Oreochromis niloticus: one gene and its partners. The protein of the gene in region 2 interacts with the protein of the main gene of each other region in a pairwise test. Links are inferred from orthologs where the notes say so. Each region holds a gene or a part of one and is shown on either strand. Other genes may lie near its edges.

Region 1 (7,410 bases), on a different chromosome or scaffold from region 2:
CCAGACAAACCTGAAAAAGTCATTGGTGAGCAAGGAACTGAGTGGTGGCCGCGACATGGGGTCAGAGTTCAACAGGCCTGCCTGCAGTGTTTTTGTCAAGCTGGCAGCAAGCTCCTGTGACACTGAAAGGAACAGTGCAAGTATATGATAATGCACATGCAGGTTAAACCTGAAAAAATGAAATGTAATATTCAAGGTCACCTCTCCTTACCATAGCCATTAAGGAGAGGAACAAGAGACTCCACCATCATCCCAAAAGAGTAACAGTCCCGAGAGTGAGCATGTTTATCCGGAAGGATTTTAAAACCCTCCACCTGCCAAGAAAAAGTTTCTTGAAAACCTGTCAACACAGTGGGAAATGTTTCTTGTCAATCACTAACTTTAATCTGCTTACCTGCTCTTCTGGAGGAATATAGCTGGCCTCTCTTGCATTCTGGATGCTTGTGAGGAACTAAGGAGTTTAGGAATATCCAAAATTGAACATAAACCTGATATTTTACAGAGTGAGTCTTTAAACAGTCTAAAAATGTGCATTAAAACTGCTGAACTGTATATACATTGCAAGAAAAAATGGCTCAATGTTTGGATAAATCTTTGCCAACGTAGCATTAGTTGAGTGAACACACACAGACTGAATTGTGATATTACAGTCATACAAAATGTTTTCTCAAATATCAGCATGTTATGACAGTACGATTAGAAAACGGCTTAACCAGTATTATGTCCTTTGGCTACATGATATCAAAGGGGAAATGGTTAGCTATAATGCACAGAATCACATCAAGCAAAAATTAAAAACAGCTCATCAGCACAAACACTTTTAAGCACAGTGGTGGAGGGATGATGATTTTGGCTTGCTCTTCAACCACATGACCTTGGCACTTTGCTGTGTCAACCATGAGCTTTTCTGTATACCAAAGACCAACTCTATCCAACAGATAAAACTTCAAGTAGTAGTCAAAATTTGAGTACAACATGCAAACATGCAACAAAACAATGATGCCAAACATAAAAGCAAATCTACAGAATATCTAAAAATAGAAAATAATCGTTGTTGCAATGGCTAAGTCAAAGTCTAGACCTTAAATCAATTGAAATTTGACAGCTTCTCCTAAGCCAATGCCTGCAAACTTCAATGAACTGAAACAATGTTGTAAAAAGAGTTGTTATTCTTCCACTATGATGTAAAAGACTGAGAAGACTGATATTTACTTAGTTTTTCACAGGACAGTAAAGAATTCTTCTGAAACTTTCTTTTTCACATGACTGCCCATATGGCTTTAATGCACTTCTTACCTCAGGAGTTGCTTCAGAGAACTTGCAGACTGTCTCCATCCCTCCCAGTTTCCAATCACCATCATCACTGACAAATACAGATGAAATACAGACGTTGTTGTGGCTCGACTTACCCTGGTGGAAGAGCAACACAAGTTTGGAACCTGCATGAATATGCATGCATGTTTAATGCAGACAGAAAGACATCCAAGGGTCAATCACCCTCTCCATCTTCATCTACAGGGCACCTTGTTTTTCCACTTTATTTTTTATCACATGCCTTAATATAATCATGCAGAGACTGGAGAAACACTCACCCTCTCATGCAGAAAAACAAGTGCCTGCAGGAGGTCATAGATGCCTGCACAAATTTCCTCTGGGGAGAGACTGTCTAGCAGTAGCTGCAGGGGCTGCACAGGCTCTGTCACCAGGTGGATGGCACCATTCTGGACTGAGCAGGACAGGAAGCGCAGTAGACATGGGTGTCGCAGTGTCTTCAGGTGCTGGGTGAAATGTGTGGATGATTAAGCAGATGTAAGAATTGCAAATAATTAGTATTTTAACTTACCCGTCAGTTAAGACACAATAAAACTCATACTTCCACTTATTTAATTTTAGTCACAACAGAGAATACTGAAGTTGGAGGTGGCTCTTCCACTAAGCAAAACCATGTTAATTTTTTTCTTAATTAAAATGTTACATCCACATTACACACGTGTGTACAGCTCAACTTCACACACAATCACACGTGATGCATTAATTCGCTTTTTTAAATAACTTTTTTTTTCTACAGAGTTTCAGAAAAGAGAGAAAACCGACTGGAGAAGTTTGGTAAAAATGTCTCAACGTTGCAGCGGTACTTTGTGTCTAACATGAACATAGCAGTGTGCTGGCTGCACACTTCCATGCATAATGCACATGAGCGACGGCAAAGGCGAGCAGCGACATCTGGACATTACACACCTTGGCAGCTTTGTTGACTTTGTCTTCATTGCCACGTTTGTGAACAAACACAGAAGCGGGCTTTCCATCCTGTAGCACCGCCGAGTACATGGTAGGTCCGGTGGGCAGAGTCAGGAGCGGCTCCTCCAGGGTGCAGCTCCGCACCGCGCTGCTCTCCGCACCCATGACCGCGGTCGTTCTTATGAGCAGCCAGTCAGGTCATAAACTAAGCAAGCCAGGCGTGATACGTGGCAGTGCGAGTGCCTGTCAGTAAAGAAGCAGACACGAGTACTTGTTATAGAGTTAAATTGACATACCGGTACCTGTTTCAGTAAACTGGGTGCACCACTTAGTGACAAGTTAGCTAGCAGGCTAACCTTAGCGCTACGTTAGCAAGCTTGTCATTGCTGCCCTTGTCGGTAGCTTTTCCGCCTCCAAACAATCATGCCAGTCGAAGTATACCACGGATTAATTCAATGAGTTTTGCGAACTGCTTTAAAAGTTTATTTAAAAAAAAAACCCGTTTCCTGCTTGTCAAATCACCGATGCTAACGTGGAGCAAGAGCTGTGCTGTAAACAAGGACCTTTCCGGTAAAAGACGAAACCACAGAGGAGGGGGTAGTACTTACTTGTAATTACTCACTTGGTTGAATAGCTTAATGTTTTTCAACTTTATTTTCAACAGATACAGGTTTCAAATCCCTTCATCATAAAATCATTCGTTAATAGGTTTTCTTTGTTATTGATAGATTTATACAAAAGAACAAACACCCCACCCCGTAAGATAATGGTTGCGACTAAAGTGGTGCGAGATAACGCAAGTAATCAGCGGAGAGTTGAGCGCCAGATGGTGAGTGAAGTGAAAATAGAAACTGTCACTATCTGTCTTACTGAAACTCTAAAAAGCACACTGTTTCATTCTCAGGAAAAGCGGGTGTGCCGTCCATAATGTTGGGGTAACACATAGTTATAAAAGTTAATATCGTCTTAAGTGTATATTTATTTTCTTACTCCTTTTATATCTATTTATTAGGCTTTTTTGCACTGATGTAACCGGAGCCTCATCACTGGATATAGCGGAGATGACAATAAAGTTTACTTTGACTTTGACTTGACTAAAAAGCTGTCAAAGCATAGTTTCGTAGTTCATTCCGGTTTATTATAATGATGATATGCATAATATACGAGACTCCCAAACACAGCTAGGTTAAATAAAATAAACCATATAAACACTACCATTTCACGTAAAGCCATCATGGGATGTTAAATCTAAAAATTTGCATCCCAAACTTTATTTCTATGTTAGTGGGGTTCTTAAAAATATATATCTTTCAAATATGCTTTACATTGCTTGTTTATTAGAACTGCTTCCATCCTTACCACCACCACCATTACTGGATTTTTGGAATTAATACTAAAGGCTGCAGGGTTGTGTTGTGGTTACCAATGTCACCTTACAGCAAGAAGGTGTTGGTTTCAAATGTTCTCCCTGGGTCCTCTGGGTTCCTCAAGCAATCCGAAAACATGTATGCATATGAGACAGACTGGTGACCTGTCCAGGCTGTATCCTGTCTCTCATCCTATGTCAGCTGGCATATGATCTAGCCTCACCATGACGGCAAATTGCACAAGTCGAAGTGGAGATGTGAAGTACAAATATTTCGTTACTGTAAGTATGTAGCCTTTTCAGGTATATGTACTTTACATAAGTATTAATTTTTTTCTAACAACTTCTTACTTTTATTACCTATATTTTTAACCAAATGTCTGTACTTTCTACTCCTTACACTTTCAAAACAGACTCGGTACTTTTGGTTTAAGACATTTGAGGGGAGTTCTTTTTTTCATGTCAGTGTGCATCTTCAAACATCAAACCTTCAAAATTTGAGCCTCAGCAGCAACACATGAAAGGCAATCTTACTCGTGTATTATTCACAAGGATATGTCACATAAAAAGAGATGAAAGAGACCATAATCAGGGGTTAAAATGCCAAAAGGTGATTGCCTGCCAAAAACTGATTTCCAGTATTTGCTAAAAAGTGATTGCCTGTATTTAAATTGCCATAAATAACTTGTTGGCCTATAATATCTAAAACATATGTCAAATGTATCCCTCATGAACGATATCAAGTCATCTTGAGCCACAAACAACATTCCTATCGTTGTAGATCAGTTTTTGGGAAAGTGACTTTTATATATACTTTATTTATCCAGTTAAAAAGTCTAATTGACATTAACAAATGTCTTTTTAGGAGTAATCTGGCCAAGAGGACAGCAGGAATTGCAACAAATATAACAATAATTCTATAAAGATACTTCCAAAATGGACTGGATTGGTTACAATGTAGGTACAGTAACCCAGAGTCATAAAGATACTTGAAAAACATGTATTTTTTAAATTATATAAATAACCCCTTTGTAAATCCTGTTCACTAAAGTCTATTGACCAATATAAGTAAAGACATGACACATAAAAAAAACCCACATAGAAACACTGGAAATCAATTTTTGGCAGATAATCACTTTTCGGCACAACACAGGAATGGGTGCACATGTCCGTAAGTTGCAGTTGCTGTACTTCAGCATCTAGCTAGCACTACAGAAGAGGACCAAGAGAAACATAAAAGGAGTGATATTTTTTAAGTAGCAGGTAATTTTTTGTCACCTCAACAAATGTCAGGAAACACACAAACTCTTTGTGTGTGCAGTTTGTCACACTGTGTGTCTGCTAGCTAAAGAAAGGTAGATCTGCTGTGAAGATGTTAATTTCACTCAGAGATGGAGAGAGATAAAGACAGGGCAGGAGAGGAAGAAGAGAGGTTATATTTAACTTCTGCTCGGTGGTGTTTGATAAACTGGAAATTTGAATATCAGGTTTGTACATATTATGTTATTTTTTTCATGTTGTAAAATGTGCTGAAAAAAAACTGACACAGACCAACTGTATTATTTAAAGGTTGCATGAAAATATGGAGTTTAGTTCAGGATAAGCTGGTTCACTTGCAGTAATGTGATGGATTTAAAATAAAGCGTTGTGTTAGATTGGTGCAAAGTGGCTGTGGTCTTCAGAGTTAGGTTACATTAAGTATTGCAAAGATGAATTTGAAGGTAAGCTGATTATACTTGGATTCATTCACTGAATTCCACCTTCATACTGTTTAGTATAAGGACAGCATAAACAGTGTCAGTGTAGAGGATGGAACAGGACAACTCATGAAACACCTGCTCACACCTTGTTAAATTCAGTTGTGTTAAACCACAAAGAGCAATAAACCTCAGAGCAGCAGCACCCCAGATCATCTGATCACAGCCTGTACACAAAGAAGATCTACAAGAGCTCACAATAGAAATTGCGATTCTTTTCCCCACGCTGAGCCACTATAACCGATTTTAGGGTTCCACTACGTGCTGAATCCCGCTATAACCCCGGGCTATACTCATTTTCTGTTTAGAGGCAAAGTCGCCCTCTACAATGTAGGCGACAGAAAATAGATCTCTTTAAAAAAAAATGTTCCTTCTTTTGCGCATATTCTAGGGAATACAAATCCCACATATTCTTTATGAGTATAAATACAGAGTGCAAGGTTACATTAAATAGTTTATTTATGAACTTTCCAGCAATGTGTTTCACAAGTGTAAACTGAGGTTAACTTAAGGTGAAGACATTACTTGACTCTCCACTGATGGATCCTGCTGCATGTGATGCTTGCACTGCTAAGAGAACTGTGAACAGTGGAGTCAGAGCAAACTCTGCTGGGCAAACACTGTCATGACACAGCTTCAAAATGATATTTTCTGTACTATTTTCTGTATCTGTGAACCAAAATGTCAGTCTGACTCTGTGTTAGGAACACAAGGATGTTGAGTTTTATCAGCGCCATGTTAATCAGTAATTAAGAGAAGCTGATTTTTTCTACCACTTGCAGTGGAGGTAATGTTACAACAGAACACACACCTTGTTTAAAGAAATATGCAATAAATATTTAACAAAAGCACAAATTTAATAAGTGAAAAATTCACTCTGTTGGCATCACACTTGCATTGCTATAAAACTCACTGTTTTCATCTTCAGGAAACAAACAAACGTCTTCCTAGCTATTGACAATTCTTCACACAGCAGCAACCGAAAACACACCTTCCTCACAGGAAGCGACGGTTTTGATCAGATCAGAAATGAGTTCAGTTGCCTTAGCAACTAACCAGCACGCACACACGCACACACGCGCACACACACACACACACACACACACACACACACACACACACACACACACACAAAGAGAAGAAAAGAAAAAAAAAGCCACCCACTCACGTTCAAGTTTTATGCTGTCAGAAGGAACCAAAATGGATGAGCTCGGTAAGAACTTTCTGTCATGTTTTACCTTCATAAATGTCCTCAAACTAATCGATGGTACAATTTAAACTGAGGTCGAAACTGTTAGCAAAATCAGGAATTAGAATGTTGACTCCATGAGATCAAGCACAGCCAGTGCTTATGAAGTATTACCACAGTCTTGTGTGTTCTCAGACTGATTTATACAGCAGACTCTAAGTACAATATTTAATGTACTTAATGATCCAGCTCATTTGAAGGAATTTGTATACCATTGTTCTTGTGTTTTACCTCTGATTTGTAGTGCTCTGCATGTAGCGATTCACTACAAATCAAATACGGTGTAACATTTAGAATACAGTAGGACTTTACAAGTCTTAACGAAGTCGTTTAATTCCCATACTGGAAATGAAATAAGGGTGACGGTCAAAAGGTAAGACAAAAAGAAATGAATTTGTTTTAATTTCACAATGTCATAAAAGATTTTTCTGAGGTGCGGTGTTGTTTGAAGATGATGATCTTTACTGACTTACTGACATTGAAAGTTAAAGTCATGTCTTTAACTTTTTAAAATGAACCTTTGTCTTTTTTGCTACTTGTATGTAAAATACTTACTCATACAAAAGCTTCCCATTTCCCTAGATGTGTGGTTTGCCCTGTGTGGAGGAGTGTTGTATTTGCTGTAACAAATGTCACCAGATTCTTGCGACATTATCACAAGTTTCACTTCTGCAATGTGGTATGCCCTCACTTCCTGAGGAATGCAACTTGCATGAGCAACCTTAGTCTGCTAGCGTCTTGATCTGTGTATTGAAATTCACTGTATCTTACTTCATAGAAAATATTTCACTGTACATAAA
Region 2 (7,312 bases):
ACTAAGCCAGTCCATTTGGCTGAACTGAGTCCAGAGTAGGCAGCAGTGCTTCTGGATCTTGCTCATATACTGTATATTAGTTTTATTAATCTTGAGAACCCTGTTTCTTTTTTAAAAACTGTAACAGAAATAGGGTTCTCTTTGGGAAAAGTCAAAGAAATTTGAATTTTTATTTGCCGTCCCTTGGTAATTTGAGGCATTTCTCTGTTGCCACAGACGGATTTAGGATAACTGACAAAAAAAAGGAAAGAAAAAAAAAGGGACCAAGGGTACAGACTGTTCCAAAACAGGAGAAAAGGGAAAGAAAAACAAGCATAGAGCGAGGTTAGGAGAGTGCCAGTTAGCAAGGATGAGAAGGGGGCAAGGAATTTAAGTCCCAAAGTTATTTTTAAACTAAGGACAGGAACTCTACTGTTGACTCCCCAAACACAGAATCATAGATCAGTATAGGAGCAGAGCTGGGAAAAGAAGACAGGGAGCTTATATACACAAACACATAGACACACACACATACACACACGCTTCATGCATCTGTCAAGTGCGTCATCCCATATGTGCGTGTACATCCAGGCACATGCATCCTCTAAGCACAGGCCTGCCACCGTTTGGCATACTTTATGGTCTCGCAGCCACACTCACACCAGGATGTGTACGCGTCGTCCCGTAAACACGGCGCACAGCTCGGTTTAAAGATAGTTGCACGCTCAAACTTTTGGTGACAAATGAGAAAGCGTTCGTTTGAACTTCTTTTGGTGCCATGTCATTGCTGCATATGTGTATACAGCACATGTACCATGCATCTGATCTAACTGACCATAATTAAGAAATGGTGTATAGGCAGAGAATCCCAATTACAGGCCGGCGGCGAGAGCGTTTAAAGTTTGATGGCTCGTCAGCTGTAGAATATGTGACTGTTCACAGAGGATACGGTCTCACACTAACTGAGATAAACAGAAGGTCATCAAGTGGAATAATCTTTGTGGTGCAATCTGCTCAATAACAGGCTTTATACTGTGTGCTTTTCCAGGCTGTTATTATCAAGTAAAGACATTGGGATTTATGGGAAGCGAGCTGGGACAAAACTCACACACAAAGGCGGGAGGGGAGCGTTCTGTGTACGCAAAGGGCACACACCCTGCCATTCATGTGTGCTTTGTCAGGGGGCTGTTATGAAAGCCCGGCTCCATCGGCGGCTGTTGTATTCCCTCGACTGCTGGCTTGTGCAGATAGGAGAGGGAATAAACAGCCACGAGAGGAGGAGAATGGTCAGGTGCACCGTCACTGGGTCCACGGCACAGTCCACTGAAGGTCACAGGAATATCACTTCCCTCCTGACCTTTAGCCCACCGAGGTCAAACTTAGCACACACTCCTGGTTTTTCTGAAGTGGAGGAGGGTATCACAGGAAACTGGGTCTCTTTTACCTGTTTGTATCGTAATGATAGCACCCATCAACTACCTAAAGCAGGGGTCACGCCCTCCACTCTGGATCCTCGCACGTGCATCCTACCCCTCACCTCCAAGGTGTCACAGAAAGCAGCCTTGTTCTGGTCGTCTCCTCCTTTCTACCAGGACCCCCTCAAAAATCCCAGCAATCCCTGCAATTTCCGGTGCAATGTTTATTTGGCAGGAAGAGAGGGCTTGTGGGGTGGGTTGGGGGGGTGAAAAAAGAGCCTCACTCACAAACAGTCTGGGTTGGTTGAGAGTAAACATGTGCAGGCGGGGTGTGTGTGTGAAACGAGCGGTAAGCAGGACTGAGGCTCATGTGTTCTGGTCCTGACACACAGAGCAACGCTCTGTTTCATGCCCCAACCGCCTCAACCTGATCAACATCCCACCCCGGCTACTACGAACAGCACCCTCTGCTGGAGAAATGGACACATGACGTTAAAAGAAAACTTGAGATCAAACAAACTAAGAGCCTAAAATGTCTTTCTCTGAATAAGATATATAGGGAAAAAAAAATCCAGATCCATACATGAGCAGGGCCTCTAGTCCAGGGGTGTCAAGCATAAGGCCCTGGGGCCAGAATCGGCCCAGCAAACACTCTAACTGACAGCTTTGAAAAATAAATAGGAAGGCATCAATTTTTAACTTTTTTACTGTATATTCATTGCTTTTACAGTTTTTCCTACTGATAAAGACTTCCTCCGTGCCCATTTATTAGAAACCAAAGTAATGAAGTAAATGATAAGCAGTTAAAACACAGAAAAGTTCCTGTTTTTTATCACTATAAATGTCTACTTTTTACAATAAGTCCATAGAGGAAATAAAAAACACACCATAACTTCCTCTGCAGTTTTATACATTTATTTATCTATGATGATAGATTTCTTTTGTTTACTACAGCACTATTTCGTTATCATATAGAAAAACTGAGACAGTACTTTTGAAACTGCACTTTATGTTTTTCTAAATGTGTACTTCAACATCTTTACTGTGACAGAGAGGGCAGTTTCACATTTTCAGCCCACTTAAGATCAAAGTGGCTTCTTGTTGGTGAGTGCTACGCAGTGATGATGTCATCCATACACACTCCACAGAGGCCTACAGTTACTATAAATATCAGAATGACCCGTATATTAAATTTTACCCTTTGAGGTTTTAACATGAGACCGAGGATGATCTCAACAAACTTAAAATTTAAACAGATTTACATTCAGTTATACACTCAGAAAGCTCTGCAGGCTGGTAACAGGAACATTTATTATCAGCAGATACATTCACCCTGGGGAAAAATGTGTGTGTGGGAGACCATCAGGGCCAAGCTGGGTCTAGATTCCTGGGTGCAGTAGTTTGTAGAAAACTTCTCCCTTTCATCACATCTGTCCTGTTCCAGATGTTCTGTTGACTCACTGAGACATCATGTCAGAAACATCTGACATTGCATGATATATTTCTGCTTCTCTCCTCTCCTCTTTCTCCTCTTTTGCTGCATCTTTCCTTTGACCGCAGGCTCCTCTGATGTCTGAAGTGGGGTCACCAGTCTGGCCCACCAGACTGGTGACCCCACTGGTTGTTGTTGTTGCAGATGGACTGTCCTGATGTGCAGTTTGTCTTTGAGGGCATTCTAAAACTAGAGAAAACATTTATGTTTAAACCCCTGATCTGTGGAGATCTGAGTGCACTTCAGGCTCAATGGCATCCAGTTGTGTGGTGCTGGACTGAACCTCTGAGCACATCGCTGTTTGCACATGGTTTCCTGGCATATGTTTGACACCTGCAACTGGCTACCTGAAGCTTCAGGGATGTGTGCATTTGCAGGCAGCACGGCTCCAGAGCTGCAGAATAAAGAGTGGAGCAGTTTGTGCAGGGCTAGGCTGGCTAAGAGCCCAGGCGGTTGATGTTGCAAAACAGCGCTGGAGATCCGAGAGCTGAAGACAGCCCGGCTTTCCTGTCAGTGCTTTTGTTCAAACAGGCCCGTAGACAGATCAGTCTACATCCTTGATCTGTCTACATCCTTGATCAGATCAGGAAAACCCTCCACTGAAAGAAAAAAAGGTGTCCACCTGGAGGAAGTGTGGCTTTTGATGTGATAAAATGTGAAAAATAAAGGAAGGTGAAGCATGGACGTGTCCGCTATATAAAACTAAAGGAATGATGATGCTTCTCAGCAGAAATGGCTCACAGGAGCAAAGCTTCTCCACAAAGGTTTTAATCTAAAACTATATTTTCCTGCTCATTGTCTCATTGTGTGGATATTTTGGGAAGCCTTGGAGAGACTTAGAGTCAGGTCTGTGTAAATAAGCCACTGGAATCTGACTGTGTACTTAGCTTAGCAGAGTGATTAGAAACAAGGGAAACCATTTGCCCATGTCTGACAGACTTCATCCAACAACACCACCATGGTGCAGTGATTTGTACTGATGTCTCACAGCAAGATGGTCTTTTTTATATGGAGTCTGCATATTCGCCCCCGGCTTACATGGGTTCTCACTGGGTACTCTAGTTTCCTCCCACAGTCCAAAGACATGCATGGATGAGGCTGGTTGGCAACTCTTGAATGGTGGCAGGGGGTGAATGGTTATCTGCCTCTCTGTGTTAGCTCTGCAATAGTACAATAGTGGAAGAAGATTGCTGGACAACACACAGTAGGGTTAGATGGGGGTTATGCACTATCTGTCTTTGAGTTCCAGCAGCAGCATTTATTTTTAAGGTCAGTAATAGACTAGCCTTTTGTTTTCATTGTACCTGTATGAATATGTAAATACATACAATACTTATATAACCTACTATAAACTACAACTAAAACTAGCTGTCAGGTTAATATAGAGTAGATAAAAGTATGCTACGCTGATAATCCAACCCTGTGCTTCCAAACCTGGCCAGCCGGTGGCGCCACTCACTGATCTCTGTCGGCTGAAAAGCCGCACGTTCCCTTTTTTTTCTGCGGCACCAAAACGGAAGCACTTCATTGGTCCGCGAGGCCAAGATCAAGACCAGCGCCGACAGAAGAAGCGAGGTAAGCTGTGAAAATGCGGGCGCGTGTTTTAATGTGTGTGACATTTGAGAACGTGTTGTTCTCAAAGTGTCCGGTTTCGGTGTTCGCGTGCTGCTTAACGCGAGGAGGCAGCGGCGGGGGAAGGTTTAGGAGGAAGAGGAGGAGAAGTAGGAGGAGGAGGACGAAGAGGGCAAACTCATACGTAACGTAGATTAATGGAGCACGCGAGCTGCCGGTAGATAAGCGGCAAACACAAGATGTTAGGCCGAGAAAACGGCTCAGAGAGCTGCAGGGGAGTGGGCCGTTCTCAGTGGGGAAATTCTGAATACTTAAAGCTTTTTATCCATCGTGGGATTAAGAAAGTGTTTCTCAACAAGGCAACATGGCTGAGTGTGTTCTGCCAATAAACTCGTTTGTTCACGTCACTCGTTATATGACGCTCACGAGCCCTAATCACGTTAATTAGCGCTGATTCTTCATTAAACAGCTCGTGCTCGAGAGCTTAAACCGTGTGAGACTAGAAGTTTTTCACTGAGTGACTCAAAACAATGTTAGCTGTGAGTGTATTATAGAGGATACTCTAAGTGATTATTTTTCCCGCACACAGCACGTGACGGTTGCAGGTTTTTTCTGCAAAAAAGGAGAAAAGATGTCATAATCATCTAAACCTGAGGTAGGGAACCCCAGGCTTCAAGGGCCGCTGTCCTGCAGGTTTTAAATGTCCTTGATCCATCACAGCTGATTTAAATGGCTAAATTACCTCCTCAACATGCCTTGAAGTTCTCCGCAGGCCTGGTAATGAATTAATCGTTTGATTCATTTGTGTTGACCCAGGGTGAGATCTAAAATCTGCAGGGGCTCTCGAGGCCTGGAGTTCCCTACCCCTGATCTAAACCCAAGTGGACCTCAGCCCTTGTTCTTGGGCCAACAGCTGAGATCCTAATGATATTTAATTAAATAATACTGAATCTAAAATCCTCCAGAAAGTAGCATTACACACGCTCTATCTACTGACTTTTTTAAAATATAATTTTCCTTAAAAGCAGTCCAAATGATTATTCCTTGACCTTTTTTCTCCAACTTGCCTGACAGATGTGTCAGTTGTGTACGAATACAAATCAGTCCAGCATTTGTTGCCTCCTATCCCATCTATCCAGACAGCTCATTTGCTTAAACCACACAGACCATTTCCAGTAGTTCCAGTTTTGGAAATGGGCAATTTGCTGACATAAGAAAAGATTACCTGGTTTAGCCCGATATTATTTATTTTATTTTTTTTACTTATGTGTTAAAAGCAAACCTATTGTGCTTTTTCTGAATTTGTTGGTGAATGCTTATATTCAACATGGCCAAAGTTTCAAATAAAAAGGTCAGTGCATATACAGGTAGTCCCCTGGGAGCCAAAACCTGAGTTCAAACAGCACTGATGACAATATGATGTCAAACAAAGCAGATCATATCACCATTCTCATGTAGAGGGGTGTGTGTGTGTGTGTGTGTGTGTGTGTGTGTGTGTGTGTGTGTGTGTGTGTGTGTGTGTGTGTGTGTGGTGGGGGGGGGGGTTAATGCAACATTGTATTGTGATATTTTGCGTGGCATTATTGCATTGATACAGGAACAGCAAATATTGATAAATGAATTAATAAATTAAAATACTATGAACAAGAAGGCTCACGTCATGAGATGATGAGCCGAGCAAACTCACATTAAATCAGCCCAGCTGATAAACTGTCAAACGCTGGTTACACTTAGCTTTACAAAGATGCCTCCTAATTCAGAGCAAGCTAATGACTCAGTCACACACGCAAAACTAGGACAGCGACCTCCTTACATCTACACCGGTGGCTTTCTGGTGATTGTACTGAATTTTTTCATGTTCTGCAACCTGGTCGTGATTAAATGGTTACCACACAACCACTTTTGATCACAAGGTGATTGCGCAGGTCACCTGATGGGAAGTAACCTTTCTGCAAACAGTTGCAGTCTGATTTGGACTGAGTGCAGTCACTTTGAGAGAGTTGAAGGTTTGGAGATAACTGTTGTCTAATATATAAATACAGATGGACTGCCAACATGTTGCAATCAGTCTGAATGAGTCTTTGTCAGCCAGCAGGGTACACCCTGGACATGTCGCCAGTCTGTCGCAGGCCTAACAAATAGACACAGACAACCATTCACGCATAAATATGATTTAGTTATTTTTTTATTACACTTTATATTTGTTTACCAGATAAACTGGGACTTTATCGACAGTTAAACACTTTATCGACAGTTTATACCAAGTGCAGCATAAGAAAAAAAGGGATCTTAAGCCTATAAAATGGATTATTTAGAATAGTAACTTATGCGAAACTACTTTTGTACAAGTCAAGAATGAAAATATGGAGCTGGAAATAAATATTGTGGGTGTCACCATGTAATTAATTTATCACTAACTATAGTCCTGGAAACTGGTGCCAGTTTGTAAAGCTCAGGCAGGGTTTAAGAGTGGATACGGGATGGGACCTATAGCGTTTTTGGATAGATTTCTTAGTATTTTTTTAAATCTTATAATCTGAAGTGTCTGAAATGCAATATTAATATTATAATAAGTAACACTTATCTTCTGTATCTTTGCCTGTTGTGCAAAGATGGCTCACAGGCTGCTGCTACGAAGACTCTGGACACTGTCTGTGAACGATATCCGCTGCCTCCCCAGGTCCACTGCCTCCGTCGCTTCCTCTTGTTATTCCACATCCCTTCAGTCCACTACAACCCGGGTGTCCTTTCTCTCCCCGTCACGAAGTCTGCCTCGCGCCCTGCCTCACACCTCCCGCCGAGAAGTCTCCTTCAATGTGCAGGACAGCGAGGACTTTACAGAGAGGGTCATCAA
Region 3 (7,882 bases), on a different chromosome or scaffold from region 2:
CTTTAAAGAGGCCGCATTAATAAAAAGCATTTAGCTTGTATACAATCTTTTAAAAAAAGGAATTAAAGCTACCATTTATAAGTCTAGTTTAGACTCAAAACTAATTAACTGAGGTGAAAATAAATGTCACCTAACACCTCATACTCATTTGCCTTCTTCTGAATGAATCTCACTAGAGACTTGTTACAACTCTAAACAGTCTTGTAGCAATTGAACATTTTATTGTACAAACTGTTTGTGTACTCCAAAAGTATCTGATGGCTTGTCAGATGACATACTGCTTCACCACAAATACAGGATATTTGTTAGTGTCAGCAGCCTGCGATGTCAAAACAGTCACACTGAGACAATAGCGGAAATTTTAAAGATCTGTCCTTTTGTCCTTGAAAACACCCATAACCTTTAAGAGTACTTCTCTCAAGAGCTGACCGTTGCTAAGCTACAAGAACACGTCTTTATCGCATCTACCATTATCTTGACTGATATCACAGACCTGCCCCTTCTTGAGTTTGAAGTTGGGAGAGGAAAGTTACAGAAGGAAGGAAAAACGCCACACGAGGACAGTTTTACACAAAGGACTTTGAGCGTGTTGGCCCCCAGCTTCAGCAGGATTTATAGAGAAAACAAATGGTGAGGATGACACAGGGATCGTTAGGCCTGTGTGCACAGTGAAAGAGTGCCATGTGACCTTTTATGAAACCTAAAATGGCTTTGTCATTTGCAAAATGTGAAAGAAATGTTCAAGTAATCCAACACCATTATAGTCAATGTGCACTGCATAACATGACAACCTCAGCAGGTCGTTATGTTGTTTTGGATTTCCTTTTTCTCTTTTCTTTTTTCCCCCCCATCAGAGCATCCAAGGCAGTGGCAAGAAAGACATGGCACTCTTCCAAAAAGGGCGACAGGAGACCATTTTATTAACTTCACTTCAAGAGTGAGAAAAACCACCTGCAGGTACAAACTGTGTGTGATTTGAGCTGAAAACAAAAATGCATTCTGGGAACCTGCAAGACTTAAAATGTGAAAACGGAGGAGGATATGAGACTTTTAAAGCCTTACAAAAAAAAAAAAAAAAAAAAAAAGGGTGGGGGGGGGGAGTTTAACTACTTTTAATATAGATGCTTAAATGGGAAGCCTTTGCCTTTTTTAAAATTAAAAAAAAGGTTAAAAAAAGAAAAAATATTTTGCTTGTAAGCTACTGATACAATATATAAACATGAAACAGCCCTTTAAAGACTTCTGAATTTAAAAAAGAAAAAAGTTTGTGAACATAAACTACACACTTATTCAAGTGAGGCAATTTCCAGAAAAATTCCCAGATTTCAGACAATGCCAATCTCCCTTCTTTGGTGATCTACATCTAGCATACAAAGGTATTTATACTCTACTCAGAGACCCAGTGAACTGACCTTTGCTCTTGTTGGCGTCTGTATAAGTGAAGCCTTCTGCTTGTCCGGTCTTCCTTCCGAACAGACCCCAGAGGTTGGGGCCCACCTTATGCTTGCCACCCTGCTCTACCGTGTGGCACTGAGCACACTTCTGGACAAAAACCTTCTTTCCCTTTTCAGCGTCTCCCATAGTTGACTGGAGAAACAAAGGCAACAGGAAAAAGAATAGAATGAGATGAAAATGCAGTTTAAAAAGCAAAAGTAAAAGTATACAGAATTATGAAGGGCTCTTTAAATACATCAGACTGTCTTCTATTCATAGCCCAGTTAGGAAGCTCAAAGCTCTAATTTGACCCCAGCGCCATTTTGTGAAGGTCACTTAAGGAGACAACTCCATAACTTTGACCATCTCTTATCGCCGGCTCTAACTTTACAATGCATTCAGGTAAGTGATCGCATTGCCCTGTGCGCTGGCACGACGCCGAGATTACCCGGAAAGCTGACAGAAAAGCAGTGCAGGAAGCCGAAACTACACCGCCCTTAAAACACGTTGGGCTAGCCACGAAGGGCCTCAGCTCGAGTTACTCCAGGGGGGAAAGGTTGCCAGGTTTGGCGAGTAAAGGAAGACCTTTTTAATGATCTTGCGCCATGAGGCAGAAGGTTTACCGAGGGGAGTCAAGGTTAATGTGCTTAGCGGAAAACGTGCTGTAATTACTAAAGCACCTGTGGCAGAGATCCGGCCGGTGTTTCTGCCATAAAGTCGCTTCTACTTTAAAGATTAAAAATGATGGTCTATCATCACTGGGGGAAACATTTTAGTGCAACACCACTAACATGACCCCGGTCCCCAAAAATCCTCTACCGCCCCCTTTTTCATTAAAACTGCCTACAAATCTTACATATATTACACATCAACCATCATTATACGGTTAGTTTTTTGAGTTACATAATATAACGGCTAATTTTCTCATTCTAGTTCTTAAGAGACGAACCGCACTACATCGTATGCCATTTACAATAGACGCGTAGCCTCCAACATGGCGGCAGCCGGCTGAATGGCATCCTCCTCACGTAATATCAAGGACGTACACCATTTACCAACATGTATCAACATGTATTCGCGGTCTATGTGGCATTTTCGCCCGATTTTGACGTTTCGAATCGCTGACTCAAGCTCAACCTGAACTCAGCTTGGGTCAACCATCGTGCTAGTAGTACGACAAGCCGGGTATGGGTCGCCCACCGGGGCTGTCAAGGATGCTTCAATGTCGGCGTACGAAAATTGCACTTCAAAGCTGCTGTGTTGCCCAAATGTGTTCCCAAATCACACAAGAGCTCAAGTAAAATGGCTATAACGTTTAAATTACCTTATTATTCCCCCATAACGGACTACGCAATGAGAGCACAACCGGGCTATTCACCAACGTGGGCGCTAACTCCCGCTACATGCTACTGTTGCGGCTCATATCCTGTTACTTATAATAGAACCTCGATTCTCCTGTAAATAAATTTATAAAGTATGAAATTTTACCTTTGATGAGAAGATGTCGGGTTAAAAATACTCTGCTGTAGGTAAGTAACCGGCTCAGCCTCGGCCGACAAGCGGTTTGTGACGGTCGCAAAGAAGGTCACTTCACTTTAGAGGCACCGGCTTTCGACGTCATCACAGCCAATCATGTGCCGCGAGATTACCGCTTAACCATTACGTGTCGGTGTAGTATCATTTCTATAAACTGATGTAGCCTCATCCCTGTCATAGCTTTAATTTTATATAAAGAAGTCGTTTAATTTGTATGAAAAAAAAAATACAATTTAAACACAGAAAACACTCATATCGTGTCTATATGTAAGGTTTTACCAAGAACGCAGCAAGTTTTGTTATGTGTGTACACGCGAGGCGACGAGGCTGAGAGCAAGAAAACGAAAGGGAGTTTTAGTACAGGCCCCAAGAATCTTGTCGCATTCCCTCCAGAGCCATTATAGGGCAAAGGGAACCTGCTTTTCTGGAGAAGTTTCATGAATGATTTTGGCAACCGAAAGTACTCCGCGTTTAACTTGGTAACAAAAGATAGCCTTTTAATTTAACAAAACTGACACGTAATTTAATAAGTCACTCAATGAACGTATACTCTTAAGTACATGTAGTCTCCACAAACCAATTACCAATAGAAAACGTGTGCATAATGTTTACAAATTATTAAATAAAATAGATTGTCTTCTTTTTATGTCTTCTACTTATCTGTAGTTTCTTACATTGCCTTTTGCACTCTACATCCTTATCCCAAAATGAAGCCTCACTCGCAAAGTGAAATTTATGTGGCTAAATGATATTTATATTAAACATGAAAGACAGAAAATGAAAAAAATAAAATAAAAAGGTTAAGTGCTGAGCCTTGAGTGTTTTCTCAAGGTGACACTATGTGTCCCCAGGATAGTAGAAAAGACTTGTTTTACTAAACACAAAGACATATAGCGAGCATCATTCACAACATATGAAACGGGAATACTATTATGACAGAAAGCGGCTATAAAATCTAAACGTTTGTGCTCAGAAGGGTCATTCAGCACGTGACCTGTAAGCACCTAAAAATACACGAGCGCGCGCGCACACACACACATGCAAACTAGGATGCTTTCAAAATTAATAATCTACCCTTACAGCACATCATATTTTTAACAGCACGTGTTTTATTTAAAAATCATGGTCTGCCATTATAGATATAATCTTACAACTTTTCTGGTCGTCTGTCCCCAGCACGAATGTGACTAACTCTCTCATCTCTAACGAAGGGCTAGTTCCCTCTTATTTCTTTAAACAAACACACACAGAGGCAGACAGAACGAGAGCTCAGGTAACTATTTCACAGCTGATACCTGATGTTGTCTAAGAGTGTAATCCTGTGTCAGGTATTTATAGAACACGATTAATAGGATTAATAAGCCATCAGGTGTTCTGGTTTGGTGATAAGTCCCATTACTCATGTTAATTAACGTGTTAGTTACAAAACCTCTCTGCAGCATCTTTTCGTAAGACCAGGGTATTTTGTAACACCTGCATTTCTCCTTCCTGTGCTGCAGAGGGCAGTAAACGCAAATACGTGTCATCAGCTCCGCGGATGCCTTTAAGACTGTCGGAATTTCTACAATTAATTCACTAAAGTTCTCATTTGACAGCGAACAAAGCAATTCACTTTCTAAATATTTCAAGATTTAAAACAAAAGTACTAAAACAACATTTAATCTCCTGCCTTATAAGCATTCTCTATGCACGATTCAATCTCATTGCTTCTCTGATTCATAACTTTTTCTAAATATTTAAATTATCAAATGCTTGCAAATGACTACTACAAGCGCTAAGTCGTGAATTTTTAAAAGTCTCAATCTAAATAATGTTAATGAAGGAAATTACTTTTCCAAAAGTTTTTTTTTCAAACCACGTAAATAAACACGTAAATAACAAGAGCCGTTATAATTTACTTAACAAATGCCGTGGAGCACCTGAAGGCAGCACTAACAACTGCAAGCAACACTGCTGTGTTTACAGGGAAGCGAAGATGGAGGAGTATCCCTCCAAACAAGTGCCCGAAAACCTCGACGACCCTCCCAACAGCCGACTGTTCGTGGTGACGAGTCGGTCCATCACCGAAGATGAGTTGCGGGAAAGCTTCTACGTGTTTGGAGACATTCAGGGGGTCTGGGTTGTCAAAGACAAGCAGACAAAGGAGTCCAAAGGCATTGCCTACGTAAAGTTTGCCAAGTCTTCTCAGGCCTGCTTGGCCATGGAAGAAATGCATGGCAAAGTCCTGGTGGAAGGGACTAAACCTGTTAAGGTAATGTCAATGGTTAGGTCTCCAAAAAGATTATATTTTGTCAGCTTCAGTTCAGACTGTCGATTTATAATTTGCGTATAGCTAGCATGCTAAAGGGGCGTGATCGCTAGCTGCTTTCAGTTCACATAACCTCAATTATCTACAATCTCACTCTTATGTGCAAAATGCTGTTTAAATTTTAAATATTTGGAACTGAGAAGACAAAACATGGAATATTCATGGCTAGGGATAAATCTTATTCTTAACTTTACATAAGAAAAAATCATAGTTGCGATTCCTCTTCGAAAATATACAATTAACGTGTATCTTCCGCTATTATAATGCATCATTTGTGTCTCTTTGTTTGGAAATGTTGGCTCTTCAGGTGTTTATAGCCCAGTCACGGTCATCAACGAGACACAGAGATGTTGAGGATGAGGAGCTGACCAGGATTTTTGTCATGATCCCCAAATCCTTCTCAGAAGAGGACCTCAAAGAAACATTCAAAGTAATACTTCTTCTTTTATGGCTTCGCAGCTCTTTGCTTGCCTGTGTTTTTTATGTGTCTAACGGAAATTGCGTTGATTGTTTAATGTCAGTATTGTGTTTCCTTTATAAAAAATATTTGTGTGCTCACCCAAAGAGGTTTTGGCCATCTATCAAAGAACCTGCACCAGGACTGTGATTAAAGTATTTTGCTATAATCTAAATATATTTATATTTGTCTATCAAATGGCCTAAAAATAACAGGAACATACATAAACGTGTGTTAAGTAAGAACAAAAAATCATACTTTAACTATATACAGACCACTTATGCTTAGTGTATATAGTGTGTTCTTTTAGACCATCTTATTTCAGCCTCTCTAGAACTCGCTGACACTCCTAAATGCTCATTTAGATTCTTTCTGTTTTCTGTTTTGCAGGAGTATGGGGATATTGAGTATTGTGTGATTATCAAAAACAAGTTTACAGGAGAAAGTAAAGGCCTCGGCTACGTAAGATACTACAAACCCTCCCAAGCTGCCCTCGCCATAGAGAACTGCGACAAAGGTAGGTCTGCCAAACTCATTTACTTGTTCATTAATCCTGGTAGAAGCAGCAGTATGAACATCAAATGTACAGAGTGGTTGGTGAACGGTTACAGCTGTGGTGACTTCTCACTTCAGTTAACACTTAGTAAAGGGCATGTTTATGATTTAAAGCTGTGGAAATGGTGTTATTAGCCTACAGGGCCATCCTGGCTGAACCTCGAAGCAAATCAACAGCAACAGAAGATTACAGCTCTGGAGGAGCAGCAGCCAGAAATGATTATACTGGCGGCTCTGAATCCATGAACCAGTATGCGTTCTCATTGGGTACGAGTTTCTTTGTCATCAGAATTTACTACCACAGAAAGGAAAGGGTAAAGGTCTTAGTATTATCCTCTGTCTTGGTACTGACCCTGGTGTCCTTCTTCCCTGTTTAGGCGACCCTGGGAACTACACAGTCATAGATTACCGCCACGGTGATTTCACACGCTGTCTCATGGTGTCCACGCGGGTTGCACTCAATCAGGAGCAGATTTTTTCTCTGTTTGACATTATACCTGGCATGGAGTACTGCGAGCTGCAGAGGGATGCCTATGGAATGAACAAAGGTTAACAGTTCAATGTTATTTATATACCTCCAACATGTTACACCAGTCAGAATCTGTTGCAGTGAGGAGAAAAAAACCCTTTTAAAACGAACCATCTGCAGAATGAGGCTCAGGGACGGTAACTGTCCAACTTGACCTGTTGGGCCAAGGAATCACTAAACACTGAGCAGATTGTTGGGAACAGTAACCTCAAAGTAAACTCTTACAGAACTTAGAGCCACCAATGTTATGGGTTTAATCATCTACAAATGTGACAAGATTTTAATCATGAATGTTTTCTTAGTGTGACAGAGAGTGACTAAAGAGATTCTATTTTTGATTGCATGAGATGGCTAAAAGGAGCAAACCTTCACATTTGAAAAACTGGATGGAGCTGCTGATTATTTTACACACTACATCAGCTTTACTCTAGTTTGCAGTCTCTGTTCTCTGTGGATGTTGATGTGGTCCATTCTGTTTTGATGACTGTAAAATATTCCACTCAGACCTTTTCTTTGCTGTGTGTCACCTGCCTCCAGGCCATGCTTTGATTCGCTACAGCAATCTTGGGTCAGCACTTTATGCCCGAGAAAAGCTAAACGGCTTTGAATATCCACCTGGAAACAGACTGGCTGTAAATTTTGTTGACGACGGCGAGGACCGCGGCAGGTATACACACATAACTACACAACAGTATATGTTTAACTTTGAGCCTGCAAAAGGGTCACAAATTACTGGAGCCTCAGAGAAGAAACACCCTTTAAAGTTAATATATCCATAAATTAAAAAATAGGAATGAAAATGCCACTGATAATTAACTGTGACCTTGTCTGCACGCCTTCTTGGCCATGTTTTATTTGTTGTTAAATATTCACGGGTGAATGTTGTCCCCTGTGGGTTGCAGTGACCGGGCAGTGTTTTTTCAGAGTGCCGTGACTGCCTTTTTAAATTTTACGTGATCTCAAAGCTGTTAGCGATACACATTCACAATATTCATGAACTTCACACTCTCTCTAGTAAAAGACATCAGAAGAGCAGGCGGACGTTCTTGAGTTATACTTCTGT

Evidence for each region. The genes of interacting proteins can lie anywhere in the genome.
Region 1: the proteins of txn2 (region 2) and scyl3 interact in binary tests that used the Homo sapiens proteins (3 or more experiments, as listed by UniProt). The two-hybrid records come from large-scale screens. The link is inferred for Oreochromis niloticus from reciprocal best matches to the Homo sapiens genes TXN2 and SCYL3.
Region 3: the proteins of txn2 (region 2) and rbm45 interact in binary tests that used the Homo sapiens proteins (3 or more experiments, as listed by UniProt). The two-hybrid records come from large-scale screens. The link is inferred for Oreochromis niloticus from reciprocal best matches to the Homo sapiens genes TXN2 and RBM45.

The regions. Positions count from the first base shown.
Region 1 is NC_031986.2:42,757,904-42,765,313, reverse strand, and holds the start of scyl3 (protein-associating with the carboxyl-terminal domain of ezrin), read right to left. Parts: upstream 3,004-7,410; 5' UTR 2,847-3,003; intron 2,825-2,846; exon of another isoform or gene 2,595-2,824; intron 2,482-2,594; 5' UTR 2,404-2,481; coding exon 2,239-2,403; intron 1,779-2,238; coding exon 1,593-1,778; intron 1,411-1,592; coding exon 1,297-1,410; intron 452-1,296; coding exon 395-451; intron 315-394; coding exon 212-314; intron 123-211; coding exon 11-122; intron 1-10. Other genes in the region: lpxn (leupaxin), read left to right, coding at 6,541-6,574. UniProt on the Homo sapiens protein: May play a role in regulating cell adhesion/migration complexes in migrating cells.
Region 2 is NC_031969.2:8,127,278-8,134,589, forward strand, and holds the start of txn2 (thioredoxin, mitochondrial), read left to right. Parts: upstream 1-4,306; 5' UTR 4,307-4,461; intron 4,462-7,070; coding exon 7,071-7,312.
Region 3 is NC_031978.2:5,580,260-5,588,141, reverse strand, and holds the start of rbm45 (RNA-binding protein 45), read left to right. Parts: upstream 1-4,879; 5' UTR 4,880-4,945; coding exon 4,946-5,221; intron 5,222-5,585; coding exon 5,586-5,708; intron 5,709-6,125; coding exon 6,126-6,252; intron 6,253-6,425; coding exon 6,426-6,557; intron 6,558-6,667; coding exon 6,668-6,838; intron 6,839-7,356; coding exon 7,357-7,486; intron 7,487-7,882. Other genes in the region: cytochrome c, read right to left, coding at 1,413-1,587, 1,691-1,711. UniProt on the Homo sapiens protein: RNA-binding protein with binding specificity for poly(C). May play an important role in neural development.